Linked DNA regions of Oryctolagus cuniculus. The protein of the gene in region 2 binds, or shares a complex with, the protein of the main gene of each other region. Links are inferred from orthologs where the notes say so. Each region holds a gene or a part of one and is shown on either strand. Other genes may lie near its edges. The genes, in order: ARL15, CNNM2 and protein tyrosine phosphatase type IVA 1.

Region 1 (4,368 bases), on a different chromosome or scaffold from region 2:
TGCCAGGACTCAGGTGAGCCACCACACCAGGTGATGTACAGAATTAGTTCTGACCAACAAATTACCGCTATTCCCCTGTATTGAAATCAATAAAAGCCCTGTCTTAAATATCAGGGACTATCCTTGACCCTCACCAGCTATAACCTCTAATTGAGAACATTTCTTAAAAAAAAAAAACAGCAACAGCTAAGATCGGAGAACTGCTGCTTCGGCTTTACCATCTTAATCGGATTGAAAGCCGTTACAAATAGCACCTCTACCTTCCTCTTTCTCTTCCTTTCCTCTCCCCTCCAAATAATAAAGGTTAGGTGGTGACATCCAGTCCAAAGAACAATGACAACAGACACACGCAGCGTGTGCTCGCTCTCTTCCACATTCCAAAAGCAAACCCCAATTTTAAAAAAAGAAGGCACACACAATTATTCCCATCAAGTGCCTGGGAAGAGAGCTTATTCTAGTCTACTATGCAAAATCAGGACTCAAACTTGGAATAAGAGGAATTTTTTCTCCCCAGCAAGGTAAGTAAAAGAATTTGGGGATGGAGTCATTTAAAAAATAAGATCCTGGACACAAGAAATTGTGGTTTTTTTTTTTTTCAGAAGCAGTTTTTAATAAACACCATATAAAGCATATGCAAACAAGTCGATCTGCAAGACAGGGAAAAATGAGGGCCGTGTGGCACATTTCTTCTAAAAGCTGACATGCAGCACCTGAACGGAAGCACCACGGTGGGAGGGCGTTGTTTGTGTTTTTTTTCTTCAGTCCAGTTTCATGCTGAAAGATTTTCTTAATCTTTTCACAGGGAATATCTGGGAAATACACTCATAAGGATTGAACTGGTTTAAAAAATTTTTTTCTCACTTCCAAAGAGTTCTATGAAATTATCTCACTGCACTTGTCTTTACAAGCATGGTTAAAGCAACAAAACAATTTATATATATATATATATATATATATATATATATATATATATAGCAAAGCAAAACTAGAATGTATGTGGATGGGTGGCAGGTAAAACAAAAAGGTGAGGTCAAATGTGGGGCCCATGATGTTGACACAAACAGTAAATTGGCATGGAAACTGATCTGTTTTTGGGTCACCATTGAGCCCACATTCATGCACCCATTTAAACGGTAACCGACCGGTTTTCAACATTGCTTTCACTGAGAGCTTCCTTGGGTTTGGCACCTCAGAGACAGCTGCGTGATAACAATTTGAAAATTTAAAACACATTCGGTAAAACAAAGACAATAACAAAATGACCAGAACCACCTGAGTGCCTTCTTTAGGCACAACTCACTCAGGAATCCAACACTAGCCTTGGGTGGTAGCCAGGCGATGCTTACCCTCTCCCGTTTGCTAATAACCCCCGACCACACTTCAGCTTGAATGTGGGCAGACTGCACGACACAACCGCACACTACACTTTTTAAGACAGGCTACACATTCATCCGTCGTGCAACGTAATAAGTCATCTCTCGGACGCACCAGGCAGCTCAACCCAAGAGCGCCTTGCATTGGAAAGCACGCTGCCAACAAGACAGTCCCCTCACCTGCTTCAGCAGGGAGTAAGCAGAATCCCTGGAAGGCCAGGAGAGAGGAAGTCGCTGCCATCCACATAGCAGCGACAGCACAGAACTTGAACTTGAATGTTGGACGGCGCTCCATTCGCAGGGCGGCACACGAGCTGCCAGGGGCAGCCTCCCTCCTCAAGTGCACGTAGCACAGGGCAGGCGTTTTCTGCAAGCGCAAAACGCGCAGATAATACTGCAAAAACCAGCCCTGCCCAGCGGCTCTCGGCCTCCGCAAAGCTTTCAGCCTAATTCCTAGAAGGCACCGGCCCATCCCGGCCAGGGCCCACCTGCAGCCGTAAGCCAGGTGCCCGCGTCCAGCCGGTGGACAGCGGGGCCAGCTGTCCCTCTCCGCCGGCTTCCGCCCCGCACCGCAAACGCCGCCACGGCGCGGGGCCGAGCACAGCCCGCGCCGGGGAAGAGCCTCGGCACCACGGAAACAGGCGGCGATGGGGAAATCAAGATTTCTGGAACACAACGCGGGGCTTGCATAATTCCACACGCGCGCACTCCCACAAGTCAGTTTTCCGAGCAGCCCCAGCCCCTGAGCTGCCGCTTTTCGCCCCCACGTCAACCTCCCAGCTCGAGCCCGGCCTAAACAAAGTGCAGCCGGGACCCGATCCGCGCGCAGGACGCCGGCCCGACGGCGGTGCAGGCTCGCCCCGGCGCGGGCCGGGAACGTGCCTGCAGAACCCCGCCGCCTCCCGGGTCAGCGCTCTCCCAGTCTAATAGCAACCAAATGAGCGGGGCTGCCAGGCACTTAGAGAGCCATTCTCGGTTATGGCTCTTTAATAGCACCTGGAGTTGTGCTCCGGGGAGAGCGGAAAACTCCTGCTTCCCCGGAAAAGCAAGTCCTCGGCGGGCAGCGCACGGGGAAGCCAGGGAGCCTCCATCGCCGGCACGGGACGCCCCGCAGCCCGGCCCGCATCTCGCCGCGCGACCCCCGCGCAGCCGCCGAGCTGGCCCGGGCCGCACCGTCACCTGTCAGCTCCCGCACCCTGCCGCCCCCCACCCCGAGAGCCCAGGGCACGCCTTCAAGAGCCGGCAGCGGGAGGAAGAACCCCCGAGGCATCCCAGCCCAGAGAAAGAAAGCAAAAAGGCAGTTCCTCCCGGCGGCGGCCGGCGGGGCCAGCCGAGGTCCCAGAGGCGACACACCACCCCATTGCCCGCACCTACCAGATAATCCATGTACAGAAACGCCTCAGTTATCCGGAGATCAGACATCCGGCAGCCTAAAGCATCCGGAACGGCTCCGAACCCGGAAAAAAAAAAAAAAAGGCAGCGTCTCTAGCTGCGAGCGAGCAGCTCCTGAAAAAGCCAGCAACAGCGAAAATAACCGAGAGCAGCCGAGGAGCCGAACCTAACACAAGGGGCGCGGCGATTGGGCGGGCGGGCGGGCGGGCCGAAGGGAAGGAGCGCGCTCATTGGCTGCCGCGCCTATAAAAGGCAGGCCCCTACGGGCGGCCGCGGAGAAGCGCGGGAGAGAGCAGGGCGCAGGTTCCTGTGTGCCCGGCTGAGGGGCGGGAGCGGGGGCGGGCGGCGCAGGCGGAAGAGGGAACTGGGGGAACGGAAAATCGGCGGCTGCCGCGGCTGCCTGCGTTCTGTGGGCTGCCGTGGCCTCCGGGTTGGGGACAACGGAGCGGAGCGCGGTGCTCCAGGGCCCTCGGCGTCCCCGCGCAGCCTCCGGTAGGAAGCGAGGTCTGTGAGGAGGGAGGCGTGGTAGCCCGAGGGCGCTCTCCCTGCGGCTCCGCGGCCTTGAGGCGGCACCACCTGGACGGGACGTGTGTGGAAGGGCGCTCTGAACCGGCTGGCTTGTGGGCGGCTGTGGGGAGCGCAGCCCGCCCGCACCTCGTCCTGTGAACCCGCTCAGGTGGGCAGTTCCCGGCGCGGCATTCCTGAGGGGACACACAAGCCCCGCCGGCAGCCAGCGGACACTCGGGGCCGTCCCCGGGAGAATCACTTTTCTCCACGGGAAAGGAGAAAGCGAGTTGGAGGAGTTGCTGGAGTCAGTTGTGTTTCTCCCCGCAGGAGAGGGGACAGTACCGGCTGATCGGCGCGTTGCACGCGTTGGAGTGCAGTGTCCCTGAGCGCAGATCCAAGGTCCCTGAACAGGATGAGTGAGAGTGAGCCGCGCTCCGAAAAGGCCCGAGTAGTGCTAACAATGTCGTTTTAAAAAGTGGAAATCTCTCTGAGCAGGTAGACTTGAGATCTGTGCGTTTCCTCGTTGTTAACTTGGAAACTAGCATTGAGATTTCAGTATTGGATCAAACCGAAGGTGGGTAAGGAGACTGGAGGCTCCTTTCTTGAAGATTCAGTCTGTGAGTGCCATGCTCGATCAAGACAAGAAGGAGGCAAAAATAAGCCCGCCTTTTTTTTTTTTTTTTTTTTTTTGAATTACTTTTTAACAAGTTTAGTATAGTTCACAGATACAACTCTAAGAGTATAATGATATTCCTATCTTCCCTCCCTCCCCAAGTCCTCCTTTCTTTGCAGTTGGGGATAGAAGGAAGAAGACAGCTAGATTTTTTTTTTTTTAAGATTTTATTTATTTCAGAGGTAGAGCTACAGACAGAGGGAGGAAACAGAGGTCTTCTTTCCGCTGGTTCACTCCTCAGTTGGCTGCAACAGCCAGGGCTGCACTGATCCAAAGCCAGGATCCAGGTGCTTCTTCCTAGTCTCCCACAGGGGTGCAGGGGCCCAAGCACTTAGGCCATCTTGTACTGCTTTCCCAGGCCATAGCAGAGAGCTGGATTGGAAGAGGAGCAGCCAGGACTAGAACCGGCACCCATATGGGATG
Region 2 (4,304 bases):
CGCGCCAGAGCCGCCACAGGGCGAGAAATGAGATGCTGAGAACCACACCAGGTGCGGCCCTGCTGGCCCGTCCCTGCAGAACACCCCGGAACAGGGAGAGCTGGCTTAGAGACTGACTCCAAGTCAACCTATCAGGTGGCCAAGTGAGAAAAGAACACTTTTAAACTGCAGCCAGTCAAGAAATAAATAAGCTATAATTAACGGAGAAAGAGGCATGCCGTTGTTAAAGGTTCAAGCTGTTTGCCAAAACCACACTTGGTTTGGGATATTTTAGTTGTCAGGTCAATGTAAACAAGGAGGGAAGAAAGAGACAGGAGCCAGAGCCTCACAAAAGGTTAACTAACTCGCCTGCTCCGGTCAGCCCAAGTCACAGGTTAACAGCTCGCTTCAGTTCTCATGAAAACCTCTATCCTAGCTAAGGCAAGCCACATCCCGAATGAATGAATGAATGAATGAATTTTTGTGGCGGTACTTGGCTTAGGTGGTCCTCAGGCCTCAGAGGCAGACCTCAACCTATCCCCACCCCCACCCTCACCCCAGGGTGCCCGACGAGAAACAAGAAGCTATAGAGAATGAATCGCGCCTCTGAACCTTCACTGTGGTCGAGCGAAAGGACGAAGAAGTCTGTCCTAGGTTTAGAAAGCTGTTCCGATATTTCCCAGATGCCTGGGATTTGTTCCTGGCAACCAAATGGCATGGCATCAGCCCAGCCCCACTCAGAACCCAGACAGGGAGTGCGGCAGACCCCTGGAGACCCGAGCCCACCCCGTGCGCCGCGTAGGGGGTGCGGGGTTAGGGTATCACCGTGCACAGGAATCACCAAGCAAGGACGCGCCCGGCCGGCACTCTCGCGCCTTTGCGGACCAGTTCAATCCGTCCCCCCAATCCACGCCACCCTTTCAACTTCGCAACAAAGAGAGAAGGAGAAATTCCGGTCAACTCGCCTTGGGGGGTTGGTGTGAGGGTGGAGGACGCCAGTGTGTGTGTGTGTGTGTGTGTGTGTGTGTGTTTGGGGGTGGAGGTGGGGGGCGGGGATGGAGAGAGAAAGAGGAGCAAGCCAAGGAAAGAGACCAGAATCTCCCACCTTTCTTAAATTCCTCCAGCATAGCGTCCAATTTGGTGTCATTGAAAACAAAGTGCAAGGGGTGGTTATAAAACTTGGTGATGGTTTTCAGCGGAGTGCAGTCGTCCGGATCCACGAAGGCCAGGTCCTTGACGAAGAGCAGGTCCACGATGTTGGAGCGCTCGCCCTCGAACACGGGGATGCGCGTGTAGCCGCTCTCCATGATCTCCGACATGGTGTTGAAGTCCAGGATGGCCTCTCCGGTGATCATGAAGCAGTCGCGCAGCGGGGTCATCACGTCCTCCACCGTCTTGGTGCGCAGCTCCAGCGCGCCCTGGATGATGTTCAGCTCCTCTTTCACCAGGTCGTTGTAGGGGTCGGTGACCCGCAGCATCTCCAGCAGCTTCTCCCGGTTGTACACGGTGCCGATCTCCTGGCCCAGGACGCAGTCCAGCAGCTTGCTGACCGGGTACGAGGCCGGGAAGGTCATCATCATGAAGAACTTGGTGAGGAAGATGGTGTTGGCGCCGACGGCCAGGCCGTGCCGGGAGCAGATGGCCTGGGGCACGATCTCGCCGAAGATGACGATGCCGATGGTGGAGACCACCACGGCCACGAGGCCCGAGCCGGCGATGTCGTCCAGCAGGATGGTGAGCGTGGTGTTGACCAGCACGTTGCCCAGCAGCAGCGAGCACAGCAGGTAGTTGCCCTGCCGGCGCACGGGCTCGATGCGCTTGGCGTAGTTCTTCTCCTTCTCGGTGCCGCAGTTCTGCACGATGCGCAGCTCCATGGGGTCCAGGGCCATGAGCCCCAGGTTGAGGCCGCTGAACATGCCCGACAGGCAGAGCAGCAGCGAGATGAAGATCACCTGCAGCCAGAAGGGCAGCAGGAACTTCTTCTCCTCGCCCACGATCATCTTGGTGTCCTCGCCGTCGTGGTAGATCCAGGTGGTCTCGGCCCAGGGCGGCGGCGGCAGCCCGGCCACCCCCGCGCCGCCCTTGCCGCCGCCCTTGCCGCCCGCCGAGCCCGGGCCGCCGGCGCCCAGCGCGGGCGTGGAGAGCGACGTGCACAGGTAGTAGGACTTGCTCTTCTCCATCTTGCGCAGCGGCTTGATCTCGATCTCGATGATGCCAGACGTGCGGCGGTTGAGGATGATGTGCGGCAGGATGATGATGTCCGAGGTGCGGATGCCGCAGCGCTGGGGGCCGCTGTCCGGCTCCGGCGGCGCGGGGCCGCCCAGCCCGCGCTCGCCGGGGCTGTGGCGCTGCCGCTCGTGCTCGGTGAAGGCGATGCGGGACCACGTCTCGTTGTTGATGTTCTGCCCGTACACCCGCAGCTTGACCCGGGTGCGTTCGCTCACCCGCAGCGCCCCCCCTTCCATGAACGACACGTCGTTCGTGTCCTCCAGCCGCAGCCCGATGATCACGGTCTCCTCGCTCTCGCCGGCCGCGGCGCAGCCGCCCGCGCCGCAGCAGCAGCTCAGCAGCAGCAGCAGCAGCAGCCGCGCCGCCGCCGCCTGCAGGACCCCCCGGTCGCGGGCGCTGGGGCTGCGGCGCGCCGCCATCTTCCAAGTGGGCAGTGCGGCGGCTGCCTGCCCGCCCGCCATCTTTACTTCGGGTTCACAAGCGCCACAGCCAATCATAGGGTGGCTGCTCCAGCTGCGGCCTCATCCTTCTACCCGGCGGCGCGAGCACAGGCACCGGCCCCGGGGCGAGACTGCAGCGGAGCGTCAGCGCCCAGTGCTTATCAGTCCGCCTCCCTGACTGACACTGATTCGGCCGCAGCCAGCGGAGAAACCCCGAGGCTCGCGGGCAGGGGGGGGTGGGGGGCGGGAGTGAGAAGGAGGGGCGGGCTCGCCGCTCCCGCGAGAGGCAGGTCAGCCAGCCAATCACGAGCGGGAGCCCGCCCTCACAGCCAGGGGGCTGGAATGGGGGCGTGGCCGCACGCAGTGCTGTGGGCCAATAGCAAGGTAAGTGGGTGGGGCGAGGAGGGCCACGGTCCTCCTCAGCACGACAAGTTTCCTACTGAAAGGCGCGTGACTCTTGTGTATGTGCGAGGGGAGGAGGCGTGGCCGGCCGGGACGCGAGAACCAGTCAGAGATGAGAACCGTAGGGGAGGGGGCGGGGCCTCCCGCCCGGCTGCCAATGGAAAGGAGCTGTCCGAGGGTCCGGTTCTCCCTGAGGGGGCTCGGTAGTAGATCCCCGCGCCCGGCTGGGCCGGGTGGGGCCAGAGCCCCGCAGCGGGAGGCCGCCCTTTCGGCGGCACAGCCTTGCCGGTTCCGTAGAGCTCTATGCGGGGGCCGCAAAGACTGCACCCTCCGGTCCCGGTACCCCGAGAAGCCGACTAAGCACGGCTTAGGCGCCACATGGCCTAAAAAGAAGACCGGGCACCAGCCATGCCCCCACCCGCCCGCTACTCGTGCGCGCCGCTCTGCGGGAGTCAGCGGCAGCCAGGCGGCCCCGGCACCGAGGCAGAGCGGCTCTCAGACCGCCCGCCGCTTCGCGGAGCAGCGCGCTCTCTGCGGTCACGTGGCGCCACCTGCCGGCGCTGTGGGCGCCCTGCAACACTTTCCAGATGGGCTGCCCACCCCAACAGGTGTGCGGGAATCCAGACTAGGGGCGTTACTTGTTGGTCCTAAGAATTCCCATGTGGTCTTGCTGGAAGGACTGTATACACGTATTCGCTGTATCCCATCCATGTGAAATAGGAAACGCCCAGAACTTGCGTTCCTAACAGGCTATCAGGCAAGTTTGGAAAAGGAGTGGAATTTTTTTTTTTTTTTTTTTTTTTTTTTTTTTGACAGGCAGAGTGGACAGTGAGAGAGAGAGAAAAAGGTCTTCCCTTTGCCGTTGGTTCACCCTCCAATGGCCGCCATGGCTGGCGCGCTGTGGCCCGCCGATCTGAAGGCAGGAGCCAGGTGCTTCTCTGGTCTCCCATGGGGTGCAGGGCCCAAGCACTTGGGCCATCCTCCACGAGGCAGACATCTTAAAAAGGTCCATAAAAGTTCCTGGGTTTCCCGCCCCCAGAGGCAGAGAGGCAGAGAGGGGGCTCCCATCCGCTGGCTCACTCCCCAAGGGCTGGCACGGCCAAGGCTGAGCTAACCCTAGGCCAAAAGCTGAGAACTGAGTGAGAGACCAAAGTACCTGAGCCATAACCTGCTGGCTCCAAGGACGCGCATTAAAAAGAAGATGGGCTGGAAGCAGTGACTGAGACACTTGGACATGGGGTGCAGGCACCCAGA
Region 3 (2,844 bases), on a different chromosome or scaffold from region 2:
GTGGGCAAAGAAATTGATAACTTGGATGAACTGAAATATTTTTATAAACAATGTCTAATTCATGGTGTTAACAATTAAATGCTTGACAACATTAATTGTTAAAGGAAGCTGAATCTTAAGCTATTTAATCACTAAAAGAATAGCAATGGGATGTATAATAGACTATATGTATTAGGTAGGCTCCAGAGCTAGAATGCAGAATTCAAATCTCAGCCTTGACAATTAGTAGTTGGGTGATTTTGGGCAAATTATTTAATGCTTCTAAGCCTATATTTTTAAAATCAGGACAATGGAAATACTAATATGTAAATCACAGGGCAGTTGTAAAATTTAAGTAAAGCTATTTAAATGTAGAACAGTGCCTCACCTAAAGTAAGTGCTAAAAAAAAAAGGTGTCAGTCACAATTACAACTTCCAAAACAGGAAGGGGAAAACATGAATATATGGGGGGTTGGGAACTTAACTCCAAAAGAAATGTAAAAAGATTCCTAAAGTATGGATATAGGAGTCAAATAGCACAAAATAAGGAAATATGAATCAAATAGCAAAAATAAGGGGCCAAAACATCATGCACGCAGTTTTAAAGTTAAAAGACAAAGGTTGTCAGGAAAAAAAAAAAGCTACTGTGCTGTTTATGAAACATGAAAGAGATGGGTAAAAGTGCAGGGTCAATAGGCTAGTCGGGGTCAATGCTTTGGAATCTTCTAGAACCTTCCTTCCCCTATGCTGGTCTCCGTCTACCCCCATGTTCCCTTCAGCCTCTTGGAGGCTTCCTCCTCCACCATCCCCATCCGCGTACCCCTCCTCAGCCGTCTCTGCTCCTCAGAGGCAGGCGGTGACTGAGGCTCCATGGCCTCTCCCTTTGGCCTTGAGTTCACACCAGCGGCACCCATGGCAACCATCGCCCCGGGGAGGGCCTCACGCCCGCGCTCATTGGCTCTCAGGCGGCCCTGCCGCTGCGGTTGGTGAGGGCGCAGTGCCTACGCCGCGCCGGCTATTAAAGGAGCGCTTGTGACGCAATGGCGCCTTGGCGCGCGTATTGGCTCCCGCCAGGCTGTGCCCGAGCTGCTTGGCCACGGTGGAGCCTCGTGTCTCGCCGCTGCCGCCGCCCTGTGACGGCCACTCCCGCTCCTGGACTTGCCGCTGCCGCCGCGTGTGTCGCCGCCACGGGCCTGGCTGTATGAGTAGGCCACAATCTTTCATGAGTAAACATATTCCTTTCTGTGGGGTTTTTGGTCACGCATTTATGGAGTTTCTGAAGGGCCCTGGAGATTACTGCCAGGCACAGCACGGCCTTTATGAGGACAAGTGAACTTGAGAAAGTCACTCTACTCCAGCAGGACGTCCCCATCAGAGAGAATAACCTGGACACAGACGTGTTGAATTGAAAGCATTGGAACATTTTACAAGAGTTCTGACCCGAATGGGGTAAACCTCTGTGCACTTGCTTTCCACCGACTCGGCATTATTAGTGAGTCGAAGAACAGCTGCTGCTTCTCAGGAAATTCATCTCATTTTCTGTCACCTGCCTATCTGAAGTGCTGAGAATTTCAAGTGGAGTGTATTGAGGTGGACTTCAGTTTCTTGACATCATTTCTGTATTCAAAAGCTTTTAATTTTTTCGTGACCGTATTGAGTGGTTTTAAACGAAATTAACATGGCTCCGATGAACCGCCCGGCTCCTGTGGAAGTCACATACAGGAACATGAGATTCCTTATTACACACAACCCAACCACTGCAACCTTAAACAGGTTTATAGAGGAACTTAAGAAATACGGAGTTACCACAATAGTGAGAGTGTGTGAAGCAACTTACGACACCGCCCTCATGGAGAAAGAAGGTATCCAGGTTCTGGATTGGCCTTTTGATGATGGATCATCTCCTTCCAATCAGATTGTTGATGACTGGTTAAGTCTTGTAAACATTAAATTCCGTGAAGAACCTGGTTGTTGTATTGCTGTCCACTGTGTTGCGGGTCTTGGGAGAACCCCAGTGCTTGTTGCCTTAGCGTTAATTGAAAGTGGAATGAAAAATGAAGATGCAGTGCAGTTTATTAGACAAAAGCGGCGTGGAGCTTTTAACAGCAAACAACTTTTGTATTTGGAGAAATACCGTTCTAAAATGCGGCTGCGCTTCAAAGACTCCAGTGGTCACAGAAACAACTGTTGCATTCAATAAAACTTAGCTGCCTGATGCTATTGCCTTGGAAGTGGAACTTGAGACTGGATCTAATTTTTCAGATCTATTAGCCAACATCTTAGTGAATAAGTCTAATGAAGCTCCCATAGGAATGTTGAAAAGCCACAAGCTTGACAGAATTGCCACTTCTGTTTTGCTTACTATTTATTATCCTATGCCAAAAAACAATATATAAAAAGTATAGTGAGATTAGATGCCAAGATACCCAGTACAATATGTGTTTATTTTTAGTATCATACAGAATTAAAATCCCAGGAACTTTGAACAGTACTCTAGACCTTACATCATTTATTCTTTAAGTCCTTTGAAACATTATAATAGGGCTTGTATGGTTATTTGTCTGTTCCTTTATGTTCACTACCCACAAGTGTACTGGTTTGTGCAACAAGTGATTTTGTTGGATTCTTATCAAGTCTTATGGTGATTATTTAGTCTTTCTATAAGTTCCTGTTAGGAAAAACTTTATTTTGAGAAATTAACCTCTGGTTTAAAGTTCATGCAAAATTCTCGTTGTGCAAGAAACACATGTGTTTAATGTCATCAGACAAAAAAGTCTTACCTTTGGGGTACAACTTAAGAGGGGAGGCAGAATGGGAGGAAGCTATGAAATATTTAGAGTAAAACACCTCTATCTTATATGGGAT

What was found.
Region 1: the proteins of CNNM2 (region 2) and ARL15 are in contact, whole or in part, in a crystal structure (PDB 8F6D), measured with the Homo sapiens proteins. The link is inferred for Oryctolagus cuniculus from reciprocal best matches to the Homo sapiens genes CNNM2 and ARL15. Residues at the interface, in NP_060119.3 of Homo sapiens: Asn490, Val492, Pro521, Leu522, His523, Phe524, Val525, Phe526, Thr529, Glu537, Lys542, Ser543, Gln549; in NP_061960.1 of Homo sapiens: Tyr92, Ser94, Arg95, Gln98, Gln128, His129, Pro130, Gln131, Cys133.
Region 3: the proteins of CNNM2 (region 2) and protein tyrosine phosphatase type IVA 1 are in contact, whole or in part, in a crystal structure (PDB 5MMZ), measured with the Mus musculus proteins. The link is inferred for Oryctolagus cuniculus from reciprocal best matches to the Homo sapiens genes CNNM2 and PTP4A1. Residues at the interface, in NP_291047.2 of Mus musculus: Phe526, Asp528, Val551, Asn553, Glu556, Gly557, Asp558, Pro559, Phe560, Tyr561; in NP_035330.1 of Mus musculus: Asp72, Gly73, Ala74, Gly107, Leu108, Gly109, Arg110, Arg137, Arg138, Gly139, Ala140, Phe141, Asn142, Lys144, Gln145.

What each region holds. Positions count from the first base shown.
Region 1 is NC_091445.1:75,116,013-75,120,380, forward strand, and holds the start of ARL15 (ADP-ribosylation factor-like protein 15), read right to left. Parts: upstream 2,911-4,368; 5' UTR 2,796-2,910; coding exon 2,748-2,795; intron 1-2,747.
Region 2 is NC_091446.1:27,088,457-27,092,760, forward strand, and holds the start of CNNM2 (metal transporter CNNM2), read right to left. Parts: upstream 2,891-4,304; 5' UTR 2,706-2,890; coding exon 1,085-2,705; intron 1-1,084.
Region 3 is NC_091432.1:77,597,376-77,600,219, forward strand, and holds protein tyrosine phosphatase type IVA 1, read left to right. Parts: upstream 1-1,513; 5' UTR 1,514-1,657; coding exon 1,658-2,179; 3' UTR 2,180-2,316; downstream 2,317-2,844. UniProt on the Homo sapiens protein: Protein tyrosine phosphatase which stimulates progression from G1 into S phase during mitosis. May play a role in the development and maintenance of differentiating epithelial tissues.